Nothobranchius furzeri: one gene and its partners. Each later gene encodes a partner of the first gene's protein in a complex. Links are inferred from orthologs where the notes say so. Each region holds a gene or a part of one and is shown in the gene's direction. Other genes may lie near its edges.

The links.
Region 2: the proteins of wdr59 (region 1) and mios are in contact, whole or in part, in a cryo-EM structure (PDB 7UHY), measured with the Homo sapiens proteins. The link is inferred for Nothobranchius furzeri from reciprocal best matches to the Homo sapiens genes WDR59 and MIOS. Residues at the interface, in NP_085058.3 of Homo sapiens: Tyr871, Arg876, Glu877, Arg879, Ala880, Glu881, Leu883, Lys884, Pro889, Pro890, His893, Lys894, Gly895, Ile896, Glu897, Phe898, Gly899, Val900, Tyr901, Arg906, Glu908, Val909, Arg910, Thr912, Phe922, Gln923, Ala925, Ile926, Cys927, His928; in NP_001357005.1 of Homo sapiens: Asp705, Trp710, His711, Arg713, Ala714, Ile718, Ser721, Lys728, Pro729, Leu730, Ala731, Gln732, Val733, Phe734, Val735, Ser736, Cys737, Asn738, Phe739, Ile744, Lys780, Pro781, Leu782, Pro783, Leu787, Cys788, Leu789, Gly793, Pro795, Gln819.
Region 3: the proteins of wdr59 (region 1) and sec13 are in contact, whole or in part, in a cryo-EM structure (PDB 7UHY), measured with the Homo sapiens proteins. The link is inferred for Nothobranchius furzeri from reciprocal best matches to the Homo sapiens genes WDR59 and SEC13. Residues at the interface, in NP_085058.3 of Homo sapiens: Ala525, Tyr526, Gly527, Asp531, Ala532, Asn533, Ile534, Pro535, Phe536, Pro537, Arg538, Thr539, Ser540, Gly541, Ala542, Arg543, Phe544, Cys545, Gly546, Ala547, Tyr549, Val551, Phe553, Thr554, Arg555, Met557, Ala644, Gly645, Lys646, Val647; in NP_899195.1 of Homo sapiens: Val4, Ile5, Asn6, Thr7, Val8, Asp9, Thr10, His12, Asp14, Met15, Ile16, His17, Asp18, Ala19, Gln20, Met21, Asp22, Tyr23, Tyr24, Gly25, Leu28, Val42, Pro59, Trp61, Gln62, His67, Pro68, Tyr79, Ser105, Asn107.

What each region holds. Positions count from the first base shown.
Region 1 is NC_091749.1:66,253,754-66,257,378, reverse strand, and holds the end of wdr59 (GATOR2 complex protein WDR59), read left to right. Parts: coding exon 1-32; intron 33-142; coding exon 143-281; intron 282-647; coding exon 648-729; intron 730-809; coding exon 810-930; intron 931-1,297; coding exon 1,298-1,440; intron 1,441-1,537; coding exon 1,538-1,773; 3' UTR 1,774-1,774; exon of another isoform or gene 1,775-1,780; intron 1,781-2,750; 3' UTR 2,751-3,077; downstream 3,078-3,625. UniProt on the Homo sapiens protein: As a component of the GATOR2 complex, functions as an activator of the amino acid-sensing branch of the mTORC1 signaling pathway. The GATOR2 complex indirectly activates mTORC1 through the inhibition of the GATOR1 subcomplex.
Region 2 is NC_091745.1:63,844,580-63,848,168, forward strand, and holds part of mios (GATOR2 complex protein MIOS), read left to right. Parts: intron 1-1,304; coding exon 1,305-1,474; intron 1,475-1,893; coding exon 1,894-1,959; intron 1,960-2,076; coding exon 2,077-2,235; intron 2,236-3,068; coding exon 3,069-3,221; intron 3,222-3,589. UniProt on the Homo sapiens protein: As a component of the GATOR2 complex, functions as an activator of the amino acid-sensing branch of the mTORC1 signaling pathway. The GATOR2 complex indirectly activates mTORC1 through the inhibition of the GATOR1 subcomplex.
Region 3 is NC_091743.1:73,558,819-73,562,905, reverse strand, and holds the start of sec13 (protein SEC13 homolog), read left to right. Parts: upstream 1-1,280; 5' UTR 1,281-1,410; coding exon 1,411-1,413; intron 1,414-1,604; coding exon 1,605-1,649; intron 1,650-2,315; coding exon 2,316-2,431; intron 2,432-2,595; coding exon 2,596-2,747; intron 2,748-3,430; coding exon 3,431-3,564; intron 3,565-3,711; coding exon 3,712-3,845; intron 3,846-3,958; coding exon 3,959-4,079; intron 4,080-4,087. UniProt on the Homo sapiens protein: Functions as a component of the nuclear pore complex (NPC) and the COPII coat. At the endoplasmic reticulum, SEC13 is involved in the biogenesis of COPII-coated vesicles.

The sequences.
Region 1 (3,625 bases):
CACCCGTTTGGACGCCACCTGCTGGAGACTCTGTAAGTTTGTTTACTAAAGCAGCTCCCAGATCGGCCAAGTTACACCTGATCTGTGTGTGTGTGTGTGTGTGTACGTGCGCACTGATCCCCCCCCCCCCCCCCCTCCCCAGTCTGGACCACTATAGTCAGATGAGTGATGTCCAGACTCTGGCCATGCTGTGCAGCGTCTTCAGGTCTCAGGCTCCACCTGACAGCTACTTCCCATATGGGCACCATTCCTCACGCTTCCCATCACACCATTCCCGATACGTAAGTCAGCTGCTGGATCATCCACATAACAGACTTTCACTTTAAAATTCCTGATCCAGTCTTGTTCAAACGTCCCTTTTTTTTGTCACTTTGCTGCCCGGTGACAGAGCGTGCGTTGAGTCTATGGTTTTGATTGGTTAGGTGTGTAAGTAATGATTCTAGTATGAAGCCACCTGATAGGCTATAATGGAAAAAGGAAACTTATTGAAGTTTTTATTGATACAATTTTTTCTATTGCACCACATTGACGGTGGATGTAAATGTTTACTGAGTGATTGTCCAGCCCTAGTCAGAACTTAGCAGGCCGAACTACAGTCTCTGTAGGTCTTTACAGGACATGACTCCATGTTTGTGTTGATGTCTCAGCCCAGCTACACATCCAGTTCAGTCACCTCGGGTTCCTGCTCCAGCACCTCGGACTCCACCACAACCAGCACCTGGAACACAGGTGAGACTCCGTGGCGCCACACACAAAACTCATTCTGATGTCTCAGTTTCCTGTCAGACTCTACTTCTTCCTGTTTTCAGTCCGAGATCCAGAACACACTGCACCCTGGGGTGAATCCTCCCCTGATGACTATCGCTATGGTAACCAAGGTTATACCGATCCTCGAGAACGGGAACGAGAGCTGCACGACATGAACAAGAGGTTAAACAGCTGTGTCTGATCAGTCTGGTTTCCATGGAAACCCCCTTCAGAATTAACCCAGCATCCTTAGCATCTTCTTGGGAGGGGGGTGAGCCTGTAGGAGCTTTGGGAACAGCTGGAGCAGGGAGAAGGTCTGGAGGTTAACCTGGGTGTGGAGCCTGTCAGCTGTTGATGGATGGGGGTCAGTTTTTAAAACTCACAAGAGTTGCCTGAGACTCGACAGATTATAATGTATTCAGCCAGAAACAAACCGGGGTTGGTGAGACATCTAGATGTTTCTCTTCAGATCTGCTTTCATCTCAGTAAGCTCCAATAGAAAACCAAATAACACGCCAGAAGGATGATGTCACTTCCTCTGCTTGTGCAGGTTGCTGGACCCGGCCAACACGCTGCAGTTCGATGACTTTAAGAAATGTTATGGAGAGATTTTATACCGCTGGGGTCTGAGAGACAAGAGGGCCGATGTGCTGAAGTTCACGTCCAGCCCCCCAGAAGCCCACAAAGGCATCGGTATGGTCCAACTCACTCTAAAGCCTCCGTGTGTGTTTTCTGATGCGTTAGAACTGTACCGTGTGTGTGTGTGTGTGTGTGTGTGGGGCCTCTGCAGAGTTTGGTGTGTACTGCTGTCACTGTCGGAGTCAGGCTCGTGGGACTCAGTGTGCCGTCTGCAAGCGTTTGACCTTCCAGTGCGCCATCTGTCACGTGGCCGTCCGAGGATCGTCCAACTTCTGTCTGAGTTGTGGTCACGGAGGACACACCAGCCACATGATGGACTGGTTCTGGAGGCAGGAAGAGTGTCCAGCTGGCTGTGGCTGCCACTGCCTGCTGCAGAGCACCTTCTGATGTGAGGGTATGAATGGGTATCGGGGGTATGAAGGGGCACTGGGAGGGATGGGGGGTATGAAGGGGCACTGGGAGGGATGGGGGGTATGAAGGGGCACTGGGAGGGATGGGGGGTATGAAGGGGCACTGGGAGGGATGGAGGATATTGGGAGGTGTTGAGGGGCACTGTGAGTGATGGGGGTACTGGGATGGATTTGGGGGGGTACTGGGGAATATTGAGGAGTATGTAGGTGCACCAGGGGTATGAATGGGTACTGGGGGTATGTAGGGGTACAGTGAGAAGAATGAAGTGCCTTAAAGAACAGCAAACAGACATGAGACTAAACTGCAGGTCATGTGTTACTGAGAGCTGCTTTTAGATATCCCGCTATGGCTTCACATTATAAATGTTTTATAAATAGCCTTTCCTCCTTTACATACTCTACACTGATTTGCTTATTCATTTATCTGTTTCCTTCTACTAGTTTCTTTTCCCTTTGCTTTTTCTTCTCAGCTTTTATTTAGTTGTTTTTTAAAAGGGCTTCTTCATCTAATGTTCAAACTTCCATAAAGGTTCACCGCTGAGATGAGAAGTAAAAACCGTGGCTGCTGGATCCATGAGAGCTAAATTCAAGTTTTCTCCACTCCCTAACAGTTTCTCCACTTGTTAAATGAGGAAGGACGATGCGGCTCTGGGGGCTATTTTTCCTCCAAATCTGTTCAGAAACAGATTGACGCTTCAGAGGAAACAAATATTTGATGGAATTTTCTCTTAGTGTAATAAAAAAACAACAATTAGAACCTAAACTTAATTGGTTTAAAGGTAGAGACAAAATGAGCGCAGAAAACAGGAGAAATGAACCGAAATAAACAGCGGAAATCAAAATTATAAAAAGCAAAAAAAAACAACTTCTTTTTATTTTCATGTTGAACGATATATATTTGTATGTCTAATACTGGGATACTTAAACAAGCCTTTGTGATTGTGTTTAATGCAGATGTTCCATGACTGCAGACAAACATGGAGGCGTCGTAAACACTGCAGCCTGATGGACAGACCTGTCCTGAGGTCTGATGGGATTCTGACTGAAGGTCACCAGAACTGCACCACAGAGTCCAGCCGGCGCCGCAGGAGAAGGATGTCTTCTGTTACAGCTTTGTTGCTATCAATATCACAAGAAGAGACTGTTGACATCACAGCATCAGCACCGTTTCAGACCAATCACAGGCCTGGAGATGATGTCATAGACTGGAGTCACATGACCCAGTGAGTGTGAGATGACTGTATGCAGGTGAGAGAGCTGAATAAATTATGATTTACACAACTTGTTAGTTCTGATGAATCCATACACGCCACATGACCTCTGGGCAGAGCTTAGTCCACAGAGGACACACCGGGTTGGTGGGTCAAAGGTCATCAGTCTGGACTTTGGTAATGAGTTTCCACACGCAGACATACACATGCAGTCGTCGTGACAACAGATCCTCTGAGAACTGTTTACTGGTCTGAATGGTCAAACAAATCAATTCCGCCATCGTTAAATCACCAGAACCGAGAGTGAGGTGAACCCAAGTCACTAGGAAACCCAAACAGAACCGGAGGGGACAATCCAGCAGAAGCTCCAGCAGCAGGAACTCTCAGCAACACCTCGTCACTCTCACTTGGTTCGGGAGGAGTTCTAGTCCACTCTTCTTTCAAATGTTCAAGTTTCAGACATTCAGTTCTGCTCGGCTCATTCTGATTCCACCACAGCCGGACTGGACTGACTGGTTCTGTTCTGGTCTCTGGACAGAGTAAAAATCATGGTTGACATGTTTTTACAACAATTAAATGAAACGATAATTAAAGCAAATTGGGCGATGGTGGCACAGG
Region 2 (3,589 bases), on another chromosome or scaffold:
TTAAATTTGTGACTAAACACTTCAACCAGTGCTTCCTCAGAATGGAGTGAAACAGGAAACGTTTGCTATCAGATCGGAGCGCTACAATTATGCTGTTTCTCAAGCCACCCAGACTGTCTCTAAAAGTAAATATTAACTTTCTTGCTGTAAAGTGAAAACACCCAACTGGCACTGTCCCCTTTAGGGGTCCCACAGAAAATCCCAGAATGCTCTGAAGACGTTCACTCAAAAACAAAAGTGGTTCTTTTTTTAATTCAATTTTGCTGAAATGCAAAACCTAAATAAAGAAGCAGCTCATATAATATTTTCATACATTTGAATCTTCCTGTTCTTGCTTCGACTATCACTTAACTGATGTCTAAAATCTCACCTTAAGGTTGAATATTTAAGTTGTACAGAAACCAAAGGCGGATAGGCGGATTGGTGCTGCATTTACGGTGATGAGGGCGTTGTATCGGTGAAGAGAGAGCTGAGCTGGAAATCGAAGCTCTTGATTTATCGGTTGATCCACGTTCCAACCCTCATCTTTGGCATGAGCTTTGGGTAGTGGCCGAAAGAAAGAGAATGTGGATACAAACGGCCAAAATGAGGTTTCTCTACCGGGTATCTGGCCTTAGAGATAGGGTGAGAAGCTCTGTCATCCAGGAGGGGCTCAGAGAAGATCCGCTGCTCCTCCACATCGAGAAGAGCCAGTTGAAGTGGCTTGGGCATCTGTTTAGGATACCTCCTGGATGCCTCCATGTTGAGGTTTTCCCATTTGGGCTGAATGGCTGGGGAGAGGGAAGTCTGGGCTTCCCTACTTAGTCTGCTGCCTCCGCGACCCGAACCCAGATATGCAAAAGAAAATGGATGCATGATTGAATGGCTGGCAGGAAATCTTGGGTGGATAGATGATGGATGGATACATAAATGAATGGATGCATAGGTGGATAGATGCATAGATGGATGGATGGATGGATGGATGGATGGATGGATGGATGGATGGAGAAACCAAAGTGTATTGCTTTAACAGTGTGTTGATCACAGCCCCAGATTTGCAAAAACGTGAGAATCATCTGCTGCCCCTTTGTTCAGAAGATAAAAATTTCAGATTGTACAACCTTATGTTGCTGAGCTTTAGAGACATGTAGTTGGGCTTCTTGTTAACATTTAGTCACTAAAACCCCCAACAAAGTATTAAACCTTACATGAAACTGGAGGATAATTTTATGAAGCTCCACCTACTTTGAAGACACAACCATAAAATCCTTTATGACCTGATTGCAGTAGAAACAGAAAATACATCCTCTTCCTCTGACCGACAGGTGACCTGAACCTGAACGTGGTTGCCATGGCGCTGTCCGGCTACACCGATGAGAAGTCCTCCCTGTGGAGGGAGATGTGCAGCTCTCTGAGGCTGCAGCTTAAGAACCCCTACCTCTGCATCATGTTTGCCTTTCTGACCAGTGAGCCTGGAGCCTATGATGGCGTGCTGGTAAGAAAAATCCCAGGATGGTGGACCTTTAAAGCTAGTTGGTGGAAAACACAACACTGGCCCTTTTGTTTTGACTTTATATAAAGCTTTATTTATTCTTCACACAGTAAGACACTGGCGGGTTATACCTCAGTGATCTTTATATGGAAAATTCTCAGGTGTGCAGGAAGAGGTGTTTCACATTTCACCGTAACACTTAAAAGTTGTTATGTAAAGAGGAACCTTTGCCCAAAGCTAAGTGCTAGTTTATGTTCTTTACACCCTTTCTGTTCTGTTATACTCAGGCTTCTGTTTGGTATTATTTTAATTTATCCTCCTTACCTTTTTCAGGTCAAAACAAGTCATTTTTTGCTCCTGTTGGTTTAAAATCATTAAAGTTGTTGTGTCTTTTTAAAACAAGAATTCTGCATCTGTTTCAGTACGAGAGCAGCGTTGCCGTGAGGGACAGAGTAGCGTTCGCCTGTATGTTTCTCAGCGATGCGCAGGTAACAGCAGCTGATCATGTTCTGGCAGGACTGCATCGTTGCTCCCGCTAACCTTTCTGTGCACGTCGTCGGAGTCTGTTCACGTAAATCGGGTTTATTTTGCTTGTTTTGCTGCAGCTGCCACATTACATTGACAAATTGACCAATGAGATGAAGGAGGCGGGAAACCTGGAGGGCATCCTGCTGACGGGCCTGACTAAAGATGGAGTGGATCTGATGGAGAGCTTTGTGGACCGAACTGGAGATGTTCAGACGGCTAGCTTCTGCACGCTGAAGGTACTCTTGGGGTCGTAATGAAAACACAAAACTGTGGACCTCAATCCCGATAGTAGGCAGTCTAAACAGGAAGCTCACATTTTTTCTCAGATTTTAGAAGGCGCTATATCAAATACAGGCCATTTACCATCTATTTATTAAAGACTTGTCTATAAGAAATGTCGCCAACTCTGCCTTGATCCTTTCGTAAATGAGCACACGATCTGTGATTGACGTGTGTATGTAGGTCGATGTCAAATGCTATTGGCTAATGCTGAGCAGCAGTCAATTCAAATTGCGTGGGGCTCTGCAGGACGGAGGTTACGCTTAGCTAAAAGAAATAGCATTACATTATCGCCCAGCCTTTCCACTAGATGTGTGCGGGGTGATCAACGTAAGGAACTTTTCTTTCCAGATGCTTTACACTGCTTTTGTGAATGACTTCCTGTCTGGCTCGATCTGAACGGCGAAGTTTGACGCATTCTGTAAGTGTAAGCAATGCGCCCCCTACTTCTGAGACGCTTCCAAAATGACTCTTTGCGGTCAGTGGAAATGCACTTATCCGCTTAAACGATGGCTAATTGCTGAGTTCTAGTGGTGTGTCCGTTAAGGTGCCAGAGGAGTCAGAGTTCCCATCACTACTGCGTACAATGTTTCACGGACGTTACGCATTGCCTACGCACCTGGTGGAAAGGGCCGGTCACAGTACAGGGTCACTAATCACTTTTACGGGTTTCTAAAATAAATAATTTCGTGAAATGGGGGAAACTCTGGATTGGTTTTAACTTTTTTTACATTGACTAATCAAGGCTACAAATACTTACTCCAAATACCTGGCCTGTCTCGTTTATCAGGGTTCCCCGGGTGAAGTGTTGAAAGACCCGCGAGTTCAATGCTGGATCGAAAACTACCGCAACCTGCTGGACGCGTGGAGATTCTGGCACAAACGGGCCGAGTTTGACATCCTCAGAGGCAAGCTGGACCCCAGCTCCAAACCTCTCGCCCAGGTAATAAATATAAAAGTCATCTTTGAATTGTTTTATTTTTTGCTTTTCAACATTTTATCTTTTAGTTAATTTAACAGAAAACTGAACACGGTGACTTAGGGAAAATTTGTCACAAGTGTTTTTAAATGATTTAGTCGCAAAATATTTACCAAATTCAGGTTAAAGATTAATTAGCGAATGGCTGTCCTCATGAAACAGCTTTGTTGTGTTTTGACAAACAATCACATGCTTTTGGTTTCTTTGTGATGCAGAACCAGAACACTCAAAGCCGTCCAGGAGTTTTCTTTAACATGTTACACATTAATACGTTCACAACCGTGTTTGTTAACCCTCAGTTAGTTTTTATCAAGCAGTCTGATAGAGGTGTC
Region 3 (4,087 bases), on another chromosome or scaffold:
ACATCACCTCACATCCACAATATCGCATCTCGTTATTCATATCTTGTCATGTATAAATATTAATTTTGTAAAAGAATTAAATTAATTTCATAAACTATATACCTGACTCTGTCTGAATTACAGTAATACAAAGTGTGTTTATGGTCCCTGAACAAGTAAAAGTAACTATATTCTTCTGATTAAACATTCAAAGATCAGTCAGGTTGATATTTCATATTTATATGGAATAATTTGTGTGTGTGTGTGTGTGTGTGTGTGTGTGTGTGTGTGTGTGTGTGTGTGTGTGTGTGTGTGTGTGTGTGTGTGTGTGTGTGTGTGTGTGTGTGTGTGTGTGTGTGTGTGTGTGTGTGTGTGTGTGTGTGTGTGTGTGTGTTACCGTGGTCTGGTGCCTCATATCCACACCCATCAGCGCCTCGCTAAGGAAGACGAACGTGTTTATTGCAGCTATGTAGCGAGGGTCATACAGAATTGCTTGAGCCCTCATCTGCAGCAGCAAGGACCTCAGTAAAAGGCCGAACCTGGTCCTTGGTGGGTTAGGATAAAAACAGCTGTCAGGTCAGACTATTGTGGGTTTATGGCGTCACCTTGTGGTCATCTGGGGTAACGACGTGATAATTTGCTGTCCAAAAATCACAATCTGAGAGACATCTTCAAAAATTGACTATTATTACCAGTTGATATTTAGGAGACCTGAAAAAGAAGCACTTGTTCCTCTTAAAATAATGTTTTTTTTTTGTTTTAATGTTGTATTGAAATGATAAAGGGAATGTAATGTATCGATGTGTTCTGTTTTCTGTCTTTTTCTATTTGTTTACGTGAATTCATGTTACTATTTTATTAGTAATTATAATATGATTACAGACAGGTGTAAATGTACTGTGTGTGTGTGCGTGTGTGTGTGTGTGTGTGTGTGTGTGTGTGTGTGTGTGTGTGTGTGTGTGTGTGTGTGTGTGTGTGTGTGTGTGTGTGTGTGTGTGTGTGTGTGTGTGTGTGTGTCCCAAGTATGTTTGTTTTACACTGAGTAGGAGATGCTCTGTATCTCACTTTACACCTGTATGGTGACAATAAAGGTATTCTATTCTATTCTATTCTATGTATAGAGGGTCTTTGTACATTTAAGTTTCCATCAATAATTTTAGCTTTTAGCTCAAATAAACTGTTTCCTTTTTATTGTTTGATTATTTTTTGTTTGTTTGTTTGTTAAATGAAGCGTTTTTAAAGTTTTTATTATTCTTCTTTTTTAATTCACGCAGAACTATCATTTGGCGTTTTGTTTTACCCGGTAGGAAGTGAGGTGGGACTCGGTGGAGGAAACGGCTTCTGTACTTGTTGCCACGTCGGAATTGTGAACCTTGTGAAGTTAGTCGATAGAGAACAGGGGCTTCTTGTTTACACGGTTTAGCCACAGCCATGGTGAATTTCGTCACTTTTTGTTTTAGTTTCAGCTCAAAATATTCTAGGATGTTGATTTTATGTTTACATTTTGCTGGCTAGTCTTGGTAGCTGTCAATCCATTAGCACGATCGCTAACGGCAGGAGGCTAATCTGTCTGGATATAGTTTTATATTTGCTTGATTTTGTTCTTATTTGTTTGTCAATTGCAGGTTTCCGTTATAAACACGGTGGACACTTCACACGAGGATATGATCGTAAGTGTTTATGTTTTATCCAGTTTTATTTTTATCTCTGATGCTAAAAGCTAACAGTTAGCGGCTGTAGCTTTTATCTTCATTCAGTACCACAAGTGTAAGTGTTCTGTGTAAAGCAGCAGTTTTTAATTTAAATATGTAATACTGTTGGGATGTGTGTTTTGAGAAAGGAGTAGCACATTGTTTTAATTAGTTTAGTGCTTTTAGATCGTTCAGTCAAAATGTTTGTCTTAACTGTACCAGATGCTATAGTGTAATAATTACAGAAACAGTGCTATGTGGATTATTCTGTAGTGTTGACTGTGAAAATTTGTTAAATAGTCTTTAAACTTCACTTAATCGGCGTGTTTTGCATTTTCGTTTTAGTTGTAGGGAAAATCTAGCCGAAATCATTCACGTATTCACATTCTCCCTAAAAAGATAAGATTAATCATGTTCTCAATGTTTCAATTTAAGGAAATCAAAACCAAAACAAACATTCAAATGATGCAGTTTATGCCGCACATTTGTTATGTGATGGTGAAAGATTTAAGGAATGGGTTTCAGTTTAGCACCATCAGTTCATTTATGAATAAACCAGGTGTCATGCTTCCATTGTTTGGTGCTTTTGCTGCCCCATAGAAATCCCCACCAACATTCCTGGTGTTGCTTTGTTGTCTGTTTCAGCATGATGCCCAAATGGACTATTACGGGACTCGACTCGCCACGTGTTCTTCTGACCGCACCGTTAAGATCTTTGACGTCCGCAATGGTGGACAGATCCTGGTGGCAGACCTCAGAGGGTAAGAGATCTAAGCTTTGGAATATGCACAGAAATTTACGTAAGTAGAGTTGTCAAGTGAATGTCAATACACTTCCATTTATTTCCTAAAGATTTAATCTTCACCTGTTCTGTAATGTATTTTTATTTATTTATTTGTGTGTGTGTGTGTCCTGCATCATGTAGCCACGAGGGCCCTGTGTGGCAGGTGGCGTGGGCTCATCCAATGTTCGGCAACATTCTAGCATCCTGTTCATACGACCGCAAAGTCGTCATCTGGAAGGAGGAGAACGGCACCTGGGACAAGATGTATGAGTACACTGGACACGAGTCATCAGGTAGAGTTCTCCATTATTCTAGTGCCGGGGTGTTCATTTCCAAGCCTGGAGGGCCAGTATCCATTATGTTTTAGTTTTAACTGTTTCAACACACCTGATTTCAATCAGCAGGTGATTAACAGGCTTCTGCAGAGCCAGATGAGCTGCTGCACAGGTGATTCAACCATTGAATCAGGTGTGTTAGAGCAGAGAAACTACTAAAATGTGCTGGATACCGGCCCTCCAGGACCGGAATTGAATATCCCTCTAGTGGTTTAAATGTGCTCCTCCTCCTCATTCTGCTAATCCATGTGGCCTTCTTGAAAGAAGTTCAGGTGCTAGTAATGCTGGAAGAAGTTCCGTTTTTCTTACAGATAACAAATGTTTTGATCTTAATGTTGTAATTTTATTTCTTCTTCTGCCCGACAGGTCAGTGTAATGCACCAAAGTACACGTCTTGTTTCAGATATGTTCTCTTTTTTTTTGCCAACACCTTTAGAAAAATGAAATATTCAGATTAAGTTCTGTTTCTACAACATTCTCTTTTGTTTGAGTACATTTCTTTTTCCCTTTCTAATTGATCCTTCCTTTTTAAGAAATTACAAAGAAATTCATGTTCATATATTGGGGCTGAGAGATCAGTTTGACTGAATAGTTTTCCACACAACTTGATCTCGTCCTTAACTCTGTCTCTGTGTTTGCAGTGAATTCAGTCTGCTGGGGTCCGTATGAATTTGGTCTAATCCTAGCCTGTGGCAGTTCAGATGGAGCAATTTCCCTCCTCACATTTACTGGTGATCAGCAGTGGGACGTCAAGAAGATCAGCAACGCACACACCGTGAGTTAAAAATGAAATGGTTTTCCTAAGTTGTCACCAATCTTTTAAACTTTATTCTGTCTCACCTTTTCTAATTTAGTGTTTCTGTGTCTTTTGGGGCGTGAAGTGTATCTTTAGAATAATTAAAAGCTTTATTTTTTGCTTCAGATTGGCTGTAATGCAGTGAGCTGGGCTCCTGCTGTAGTTCCAGGCAGCCTGATCAATCAGCCATCAGGTCAGAAACCAAACTACGTCAAACGCTTCGTCTCTGGCGGATGTGACAACCTGGTGAAACTCTGGAAGTAAGTTGCTGTTGAAAATCTGTCATCCTGTATGGATAAAAAAAAGAACACTTTCAACAGTGAACGTCAGATGTAGCTAATATTCTGTGGCCTGAATAATGTTCTGCCTGCAGAGAGGAAGACGGTCAGTGGAAAGAGGACCAGAAGTTGGAGGCGCACAGTGATTGGGTCAGAGACGTCGGCTGGGCTCCTTCTATTGGTCTTCCCACCAGCACCATCGCCAGCTGCTCCCAGGTCCGATT